Linked DNA regions of Arabidopsis thaliana. The protein of the gene in region 2 interacts with the protein of the main gene of each other region in a pairwise test. Each region holds a gene or a part of one and is shown on either strand. Other genes may lie near its edges.

Evidence for each region. Proteins that work in one complex are often made in the same cells at the same time.
Region 1: the proteins of AHBP-1B (region 2) and AT2G47870 interact in a two-hybrid assay, tested with the Arabidopsis thaliana proteins (one study listed by BioGRID).

Annotation. Positions count from the first base shown.
Region 1 is NC_003071.7:19,601,335-19,604,396, reverse strand, and holds AT2G47870 (Thioredoxin superfamily protein), read right to left. Parts: upstream 1,235-3,062; 5' UTR 1,059-1,234; coding exon 747-1,058; 3' UTR 502-746; downstream 1-501. Other genes in the region: SETH6 (Phototropic-responsive NPH3 family protein), read right to left, coding at 2,309-2,887, 2,958-3,062. UniProt on the Arabidopsis thaliana protein: Has a glutathione-disulfide oxidoreductase activity in the presence of NADPH and glutathione reductase. Reduces low molecular weight disulfides and proteins.
Region 2 is NC_003076.8:2,149,168-2,155,107, reverse strand, and holds AHBP-1B (bZIP transcription factor family protein), read right to left. Parts: upstream 4,269-5,940; 5' UTR 3,977-4,268; exon of another isoform or gene 3,973-3,976; intron 3,800-3,972; exon of another isoform or gene 3,311-3,799; intron 3,048-3,310; 5' UTR 2,986-3,047; exon of another isoform or gene 2,982-2,985; intron 2,894-2,981; 5' UTR 2,786-2,893; coding exon 2,720-2,785; intron 2,621-2,719; coding exon 2,549-2,620; intron 2,461-2,548; coding exon 2,401-2,460; intron 2,280-2,400; coding exon 2,202-2,279; intron 2,125-2,201; coding exon 2,073-2,124; intron 1,786-2,072; coding exon 1,514-1,785; intron 1,421-1,513; coding exon 1,175-1,420; intron 1,081-1,174; coding exon 934-1,080; 3' UTR 522-933; downstream 1-521. Other genes in the region: AT5G06940 (Leucine-rich repeat receptor-like protein kinase family protein), read left to right, coding at 4,337-5,940.

The DNA of each region.
Region 1 (3,062 bases), on a different chromosome or scaffold from region 2:
GTCAATTTATAATCTAACGGATTCTCTCAACATATCTCCTTTGATTGAGTCATTGCGCAAAGTGAGGATAAATGAAAAAGATTGGACCTTTCGGTGATAAACATGTATATATATGTATCAACAATATGCATCGTACATGGTGATTCCGCCAACACCAACTTGCCAAAGAAAATTATTCCATCTTTCTTTTTTATATATTCTTCTTTCACACTTACACTAATGTTTGATTCACTTCTCTCGAAATGTCTTTCTTGCCGGACGCACGCGTGAATCACACGCATATGTTAACTCTGCTGCGTCATTCTTGGCTTACTTTTCGATTGTTTTGTGGGTGTAGTAATCTTTTCATGAGCGAGATTCTCTTTTATGTTTGATTCAAAAACGATCATATATATACTAGTTATAGCATAGTTACGTTCGATATTCATTTGTATATCGGTTAGGTATTATACTACGTACATTTTTTTCTATAATCGGAAGATATTATGCTAAATCCAGATGATATTCCGATATTAACAGAAATCTTTACGTGATGATTGATTACAGTCTAGTTTCTCCGTATCAACTGATAATTAATCTCCACGAGCATCGGAGCATGCATAATCTTCTATATATATGGTTACTAAAAGTATAATTCAATATTCATGCAAGCTTAGATAAATATATGTATGTATTATTCACGAGATGACATAATATGAACTAGTGTGTGTAGAATAAATGATAGTAAGAAGCGTGATGATATGTAGTCACAACCATATGGCGTTAGAGGCCTTTAACATCTGCTTGAGGGAGCCATCCACGTGGAAGGAGATGACGTCTTTAGCTGAGCCGACGTACCTTCCTCCTACGAAAACCGCAGGGACAGCAGGGTTAGACCCGAATACCCGGAAGAGGGCCCGTTCCATGTCAGGGCCTTGCGGGTCCTTGTCAAGCTCATGGATGGCAGGACTCGCCCCGAGTTCGTAGAAGAGAGTCTTGATGCTATGACACATGCAACACGAGCTCTTCGTGAATATCACAGCCGCCTTCTCCGATGCCAAATCTCTTACTCGTTCCATCGACGATGTGACAAAGAAGTGTTAATTCGAGGCCTTGAGTATGGATGATAAACAAGCCGATCGATCAAACTATTATTTATAGCCCCGCCGCATTCGGCATATATTTTCGGAAAATGAACGCGATCAATTATATAGTTTGGTATGTTATCAAAAAAGGTAAGTTGTGTCGCTTTCGGTCTGCGACAGGCAGCAGCATCACATACCCTTGACATTTGTTTATACATCACAATATATAGTAGTTTTTCTTTGGAATAAATTTATGGACAAAAAGCTGAAATTTATTGTTTTTTTTTTTGTAAGTTAGTTATTCAAACGTATAATTTAAAATGATAATAATATACAAAGGTCAAAAGCAAAAATCTGGTGTTGACTGGTGTGGTGTTTAAAAATGTCATCTAATAAAAAAAAAACATAGGCTTTTTGTTTTTGTTACAGATTAATAAAGTAGTAATTATATAGTTATTTTCATTACATCTAGGTACGTTTTGGCCAACCTGTTAGAGAGGGAGCCAAAATACTTTTCTAGTGTGGTCACAGCAATTGAGTTGTGGAATCACCAACCCAAATTCCAAACCAAGACTTGATTTCATCCTCTCTTTTTTCAAGATATTTGTCATTAATGTATATATTCCCTTACAAAATATCTCACAGGTAAGGTAGATATATTACCTTGTCGAGGGGATCCAACGACGTGGCAAACGCAAGGACCAGTCATGTTAATTAGATTCTTTTAGTTCAAATCTCGACGTCCATAGTTCTTCTATGTAGGTCGTAGATTATATTCTGTTTTTTTTTTTCCTGTCATCACAAGGCGTTGACACTTGACATAGTGCAAATTCTCTGTACCTATAAAGCAAAGATTAGGCCCGTGAGTAAAAAAAATCTCACAGTTTTTTTCACGTCTAATATACTCCGGAAGATTTGTAGTGGGCCGTTGAGCGCAATGAGATATAATATATAGGCCTACTAGAAAAGGCCTAGAAAAGTGACAAAGGGATCAAGACTTAATTCTTGCCCCATTGAGCTGGAAACAAAACTAGAACAAAATGTTTTCCGTTAAGGGTCTTCTTGATCCATATCAATATATCATCATCAACGAACAGTATATACAAGACAAGCTTTACACACTTGGGAATGTATTATGCAACTCTAGAATCTGTAAATTACAAATTTACACACTCAAATTCACTCTCGTCTTTTCTTTGTTAAAGAAATATTACAAAAGAGTAGAAGAAGAAGAAGCAAGCAAGTCAAGAAACAGAGTGACATCTTCTCTTCTGAAACATGAATCGTCTTTCCGAATTCGTTTTCTCCTCCGTATGCTTTTTACCGCTACTGGCAACACTTTGGCTGCTCCTAAATCTCAAAACGATTGCGTTCAACTTGTTCAGACCTCTCGAGAGCTTCCTCAACATTCCATAACGCCTCCTCCTGCTCTGCGGCTTCACGAAGTCTCTCTTCATCGATACATGATCTTTCTCCAGGTCCGTTAGCCTCATCCTCATCCTGGCCACCTCTAGTCTCAGCTCTCTGTTCTCTCTTCTCACTGATGCATAGTTGTCCCTCGGCGAGATGGCTCCGCTTGCCATCCCGCTTCCCGAGCGGTTTGGGAACAAGAAGAACTGGCTTTGGTTCGAACCGCCTGTGCCACCGCCGCTGGTCATGGCGTTCTTGAGCCGTGTCTGTTCGTAGAACAGGACTTGAACCGCAATCTGAACCGGAAGTCTCTCGTTTTGCGCCGCGTGGCTGCTTGCGTCCTGCGACAGTTTCTTACAGCTGACTGTCTTGCAGAGACGGTAACGTTCCGAATCTTTCATGTGGGGGTGAACCTAATACAAAACCGTAACACAGCAATCAAAATCATACAACACTCATTCTCAAAAGCAGACTCTTTTATACCTTGAGGAAGATATCAACGGCTCGGTAGAGGCCATCGCAGACGACGCGAGCATGGTCAGGGAGAAGCTCTGCGAGTGCTATAAACTTGGAGGGAGGAAGGCTCGA
Region 2 (5,940 bases):
CAGAGGCAGAATAAGAAAACTGAAGAACTAAAACCCCTAAGACTATTGAAGAAGAGACTCACCTGAAAAGAACGGATTCTTTGAGCTTAACCCCAAACAAAAGTTGCTCGGAGAAAAAGCGATTTAGAGAAAGATCCGGAAAATTCCAATCTACAACTGCAAAGACGTGGTCTTTGTCTAAAACCCACAACAGATATAGTATCAATCACCAACAAAGGTTACTACTTTTGTATCTTCCTTCTTTGAGGTATTTTTAGTTGTACGATCTTCTTTTTTTTTATTTTGCCGGTCTCTGAAAAAAAACAGGAATGGAAGACGAAACTCAAGTGATGGTGGACCTCTAGATGCTGAGGGTTAAAAAGTCCTCTGAAAATTGCAACACTCTCTTTTTTCTAAAAACAAAATAATTCTTGGTTTTGACAATGACATGTCCCTTTTTTTATTACAAAAAAATCTATCACACTTACTTTGAATGTAAATTCATTTTCATCATCTCTTGGAAGTTTACATTAGAATCCTCACTAAATAAGATTTAAGACACAAGCGATGAAACTACAAAACTCAAATAGAACATCTTAATATTGTTAAATGATTACAGTACAGAAGTTGCAAGGTTAAAACACCTTTACCACACACAAAAGTAACAAAAAAAAACAAAATTCAATAACCTTTCTAAGATAATCGAAGATGCTATATAAACAACATTGAACTTTTCAAATGCTAAATTAAAAACTGATGACTACAACTAAAACAACATGAATTACCACAACCATGTAGAAGAAACCTACATACAAAGAGTCTTTTGTTTCCCAGAAATTTGCTTATTTGTTGATGGATTTGGTAAGAAGAATCTGACAAGTGTTGATTAATAGTCTCTCCTGGTTTTGTGTCCATATGGATTTTGTACAGCTGACATGTGACCAAAATACAGTTTCACTCTCTGGGTCGAGCAAGCCATAAGGAGCTTAGAGCTCGTAGCCGTGAGAAGTAATCGTGTATTGCAAGTAGAGCACGTGCTGACTGTCTCGTTGTTAATACTCTTATCATCTGTTGCAATGTTTGTAGTCTCAAATTATCAGCCTGCCACCACCAACCAAGAGACGATTATTAACCTATTGATATATATATATACTCTTAACTAAGATATCATCTCAAAACATCACAAGTGTTGTACCTGGCGGATAAATCCTTCGAGTGTACCTAACTTTCCCATTGCCATGGCCATCTGACCCATGTAGCTTGCGACATTCCCTGATGAACTTGAACCAAGAGTCCCGCTCGATAAAGTATCAGCTAGTGACTGTTGTAAGCTCTCCATCCCTTGAGACAAAGCATCTTCAGCCTGCTGCGATGTCTGTTGCAGGTTATTTATGCCCATCAACTGTCTCTCTGTCATTGGCTCCAACTGATTCGCCAGAAGCTGTTTCAACACATTTTTCCCTATGACCATTCTTTTTATGTTCTATGTAGAAACAGATGCAATCGGTGAAGACAAAGTGAAATTTGACCTCACCTTTAGAAGTTCGGATGAACGAAATCCACCGAGCCACAAGAAACATCTCTCAGCTGGTGTTTTCCACATGCCAGATAGCAAGTGAAAGACATCATTCTTAGCTGCATTGCTCTTTATCCTGAAAAGCTCCTCATAGTGAGCCATCACACCATCGACTATTATTCGAAGCTCAGAATCACCTGCATGCGCATTCAGAGCAGACCTCAGCTCGTTCATTTGCTTGTTCTTTTCTTCCAACCACCGTGAATGTTCAGCATCAAACGCCAAAGCACCTGAATTAAAAAATTTATACATGATCAAAACAAACCCATGAGATTCGTCATCTTGTAAATCTAAATCTACACCAGTGCTAATTAGAATAACAGTTTTTGCTATCAGAACCATGTCAGTCTGCCACTGACTCTGATAACCCAGTGTATTGTAATGGGATGAGATATGATGTACTAATTGATCAGTCTACACCAAGTCAACAGGAAGTTGATATATGAACTTAACTTATACACAAATTAGAAGCCAAAAAATAAACATAATTAAAACTAATGGAGAATAAGCAACCAACCATTTCCACCAGTAGAATGGGCCTGGTCTCCTGTGCCTGAAATGAAGACGCCCTAGAAACAAGAAATTTACCGTTAGGTATACAGAATAACAAAATAAAAATCAATAGAAATAAGAAACAAATTTGAACCTGCTGTCTTGCTCTTTGCAGCTCCTGCTCAAGCTGGGTTAGTTTCAAGCGGCTGTTCTCTAGCTGCTGAACATAAGCCTATGGAGGGAGCAATTAAAAGGAATTAACGTAGTACCAAATAGCTATGCTTCTAGCGATGCACCAATTTAAAAAGAAAAGAAAAAGTAAAAAAAGATAAAACCAATGGAAGGTAATATACCTTCTTCCTCAATCTGCTTTTCCTTGCTGCCTCACGGTTTTGAGCAAGCCTACGAAGAGTCTATGGATCAAAATATAAGGAAACAAAAAGAGATTATAAATTGGCTGAATAAAAACAGTGATCTTATCTACAGAGATGGACATGTCACCTTTTGATCCATCTTTCCCTTCGATCGGTCACTCGAATCAGAAGCAGCAGTATTCACTAGTGCTCCCTCCGACTGCATTAAAATTAACACCAGAATTTTTGTTTGGTCCATAAAAAATCACACTATTTTGAAGAATATAAGTGATAAAATCTAGCCAGATTATGAGCTAACCCCAAGATCAGGATGATCTGTGTCGTCATCTGTTGAGACATCAGTTCTCGGACTGGTATCAGCCATATTACTTTCTCACCACTTTTCTGTACTAACACTTGATAACAAAGACAATATCCACTTGTGGCCTCTCTTTTAGTAACAACTTCTTGAAATTTCTCTTGTGTGCACAGACTGCCAGGATTCGGAAGGAAATTAAGAAAAAGAAAAAAAGACAGAAAGAACAAAATTAGGTGATAGAATATAAAAGAAAGATCAACACCTACCAATACGAATCAATAGGAAATGAATCAGGAACAAATGTTGGTCACCCGGAGCATTGGCTGCGCTGAATGAGCACAAAAAAAAACAGCATTACATACCATCTCTTTTGCTAACATAGTTTTCAATTATGTCCTATAAAGTCAAGAAAAAGGTTCTCTAGTTTGTTTCAGTTAAACAAGCCAGCTAAAGAATGCTAAAGAGTCCTTTACTTATTCAAAGTGTCCTAAGGGAAATTCTGCTGACTACCATAAGTCACAAAGTCAAATATATAAGAACAATCTGTTTGTAGCTAACAGACTGACAAAAATAGCCCATCAAAAACACAACCTTTAAAGCAATTCATCAAACCCAATCAGACATGTAGCTTGCACAATCTACAAAGTCTGAGAAACTCATTCAGACCTTAAGCTTAGCTCGCGGATCAAAGTCAAAATCAGTGAGACTTAAGGTGTTGGCACAGTCGAAAATGCCTGAGTTTGAAAAATTAGGTACAGTCACACTCACACACATCATTTCAATTCAGTTTGAATGACACTAAAGTAGCTTCAGTAGCTGAATCTCTTAGTTTTGCAACTCTAGCTAGAACAAAAACTATTCAGTATTCACATCCGAGTTGACTCAATTCCTTACTCAGTATTCATATCCGAGTAAAGTAAAAAAAAAAAGCTAAACTCTAAATCTAGAACCAGTGAGAATTCGGCATGAAGCTGCAGCTATGATTTCAAACCAAGAAACTACCACCGAAACAGAATTCAAGAGATTAACATTTAATTCGATGATTTTGGTAGCTCAAAATTAAGAACAAAATCACCAATTAAAAAAAAAAAAAAGCTGAACTCTTTAAGCTTGAGAAAGTCAACTAGGTTTAACTTCAAAAGCAAAAAGACAGAGTTAACAAGTAGCTTCTTAGGACTGTGAAGGAGAAAACTCCCAGAAAAAAAACAAAGGAAGAAAAACCCTAGAAAAAAAGGTTGGCTTGATGAAGAAACTGACCTGGAAAAACGAAATCTTGAAGGTGCACAAGTAAAGGGCTTGATTCGAAATCGGATTGAAACAAAGAAACAGAGAGAGACACGATCCGAAATTCCAATCTCCGAGACGTCGTTTTGTCTACAAATCTACCAGTTCCCCATAGACCCTCGACCAAAATTTAACGGGAAATTTCAAACTAAACCCTATACTCTTTATTTTTACCATTAACCAACCCTACTATCTTATAATTGCAAAACCCACCCCGTATTTTCAACACCTGAAATTCAATTCACTCTCACTCTCACTCTCACTCTCACTCTCACTCTCTCACTACTTCACTCATTCAGCAGATCCTCTTCATTCTCTATTCTTAACTCATTAATGGCTACCAGATTCAAGCACCAGTTTTCAATCTCACTAGCCTTGACATTCTTCTTCTTCTTCACCAAGACCTTCTCTTTCACAGAGAACGAGGAACTTGGTAACCTTCTCAGATTCAAAGCCTCCTTTGATGATCCAAAAGGCTCTCTTTCAGGTTGGTTTAACACTTCTTCTTCGCACCATTGTAACTGGACTGGTATCACATGTACTAGAGCTCCTACTCTTTACGTCTCTTCCATTAACCTTCAAAGTTTGAATCTTTCTGGTGAAATCTCTGACTCCATTTGTGACCTCCCTTACCTCACTCACCTTGACCTCTCCTTGAACTTCTTCAATCAGCCTATCCCACTTCAGTTGTCTCGTTGTGTTACTTTAGAGACTCTTAATCTCAGCTCTAATCTCATCTGGGGCACAATCCCTGATCAGATTTCTGAGTTTAGTTCCTTGAAAGTTATTGACTTTAGCAGTAACCATGTCGAAGGTATGATTCCAGAAGATTTAGGGTTATTGTTTAATCTCCAAGTTCTCAACTTGGGAAGTAATTTGCTCACTGGTATCGTCCCTCCTGCTATTGGGAAGCTAAGTGAGCTTGTTGTTCTTGATTTGTCTGAAAACAGCTATTTGGTTAGTGAGATTCCTTCTTTTCTTGGGAAGCTAGACAAGCTTGAACAGCTTCTGTTGCATAGGTCAGGGTTCCATGGAGAGATTCCTACTTCGTTTGTTGGTTTGACAAGTTTGAGAACCTTGGATCTGAGTTTGAACAACCTGAGTGGTGAGATTCCTCGATCATTAGGCCCTTCTCTCAAGAACTTAGTGTCTCTTGATGTCTCACAGAATAAGTTATCTGGCTCTTTCCCTAGTGGCATTTGCAGTGGTAAAAGGCTTATTAACCTTTCTCTCCACTCGAATTTCTTTGAAGGGTCATTGCCTAACTCCATTGGTGAATGCCTTAGTCTGGAGAGGCTTCAAGTGCAGAACAATGGATTTTCTGGTGAGTTTCCAGTTGTGTTGTGGAAATTACCCAGGATTAAGATTATTAGAGCGGATAATAATCGGTTCACAGGTCAAGTGCCAGAGTCTGTGTCTTTGGCTTCTGCATTGGAGCAAGTTGAGATAGTCAACAATTCCTTTTCTGGTGAAATCCCACATGGTCTTGGATTGGTTAAGAGCTTGTATAAGTTTTCTGCTTCACAAAACCGGTTTAGTGGAGAGTTACCGCCGAATTTTTGCGACTCACCTGTCCTTAGTATTGTAAACATCTCTCACAATAGGCTCTTAGGAAAGATCCCAGAACTGAAAAACTGCAAGAAGCTTGTCTCTTTGTCTCTAGCAGGCAATGCATTCACCGGAGAAATCCCGCCATCACTTGCTGATTTACATGTTCTGACCTATCTTGATCTATCTGATAATAGTCTTACTGGTTTGATCCCTCAAGGCTTACAGAACCTAAAGCTTGCTCTTTTTAACGTGTCATTCAATGGATTATCAGGTGAGGTACCTCACTCTCTGGTCTCCGGGTTACCAGCTTCCTTTCTGCAAGGAAATCCTGAGCTTTGTGGACCCGGTTTACCCAATTCTTGCTCCTCTGATCGGTCTAACTTCCA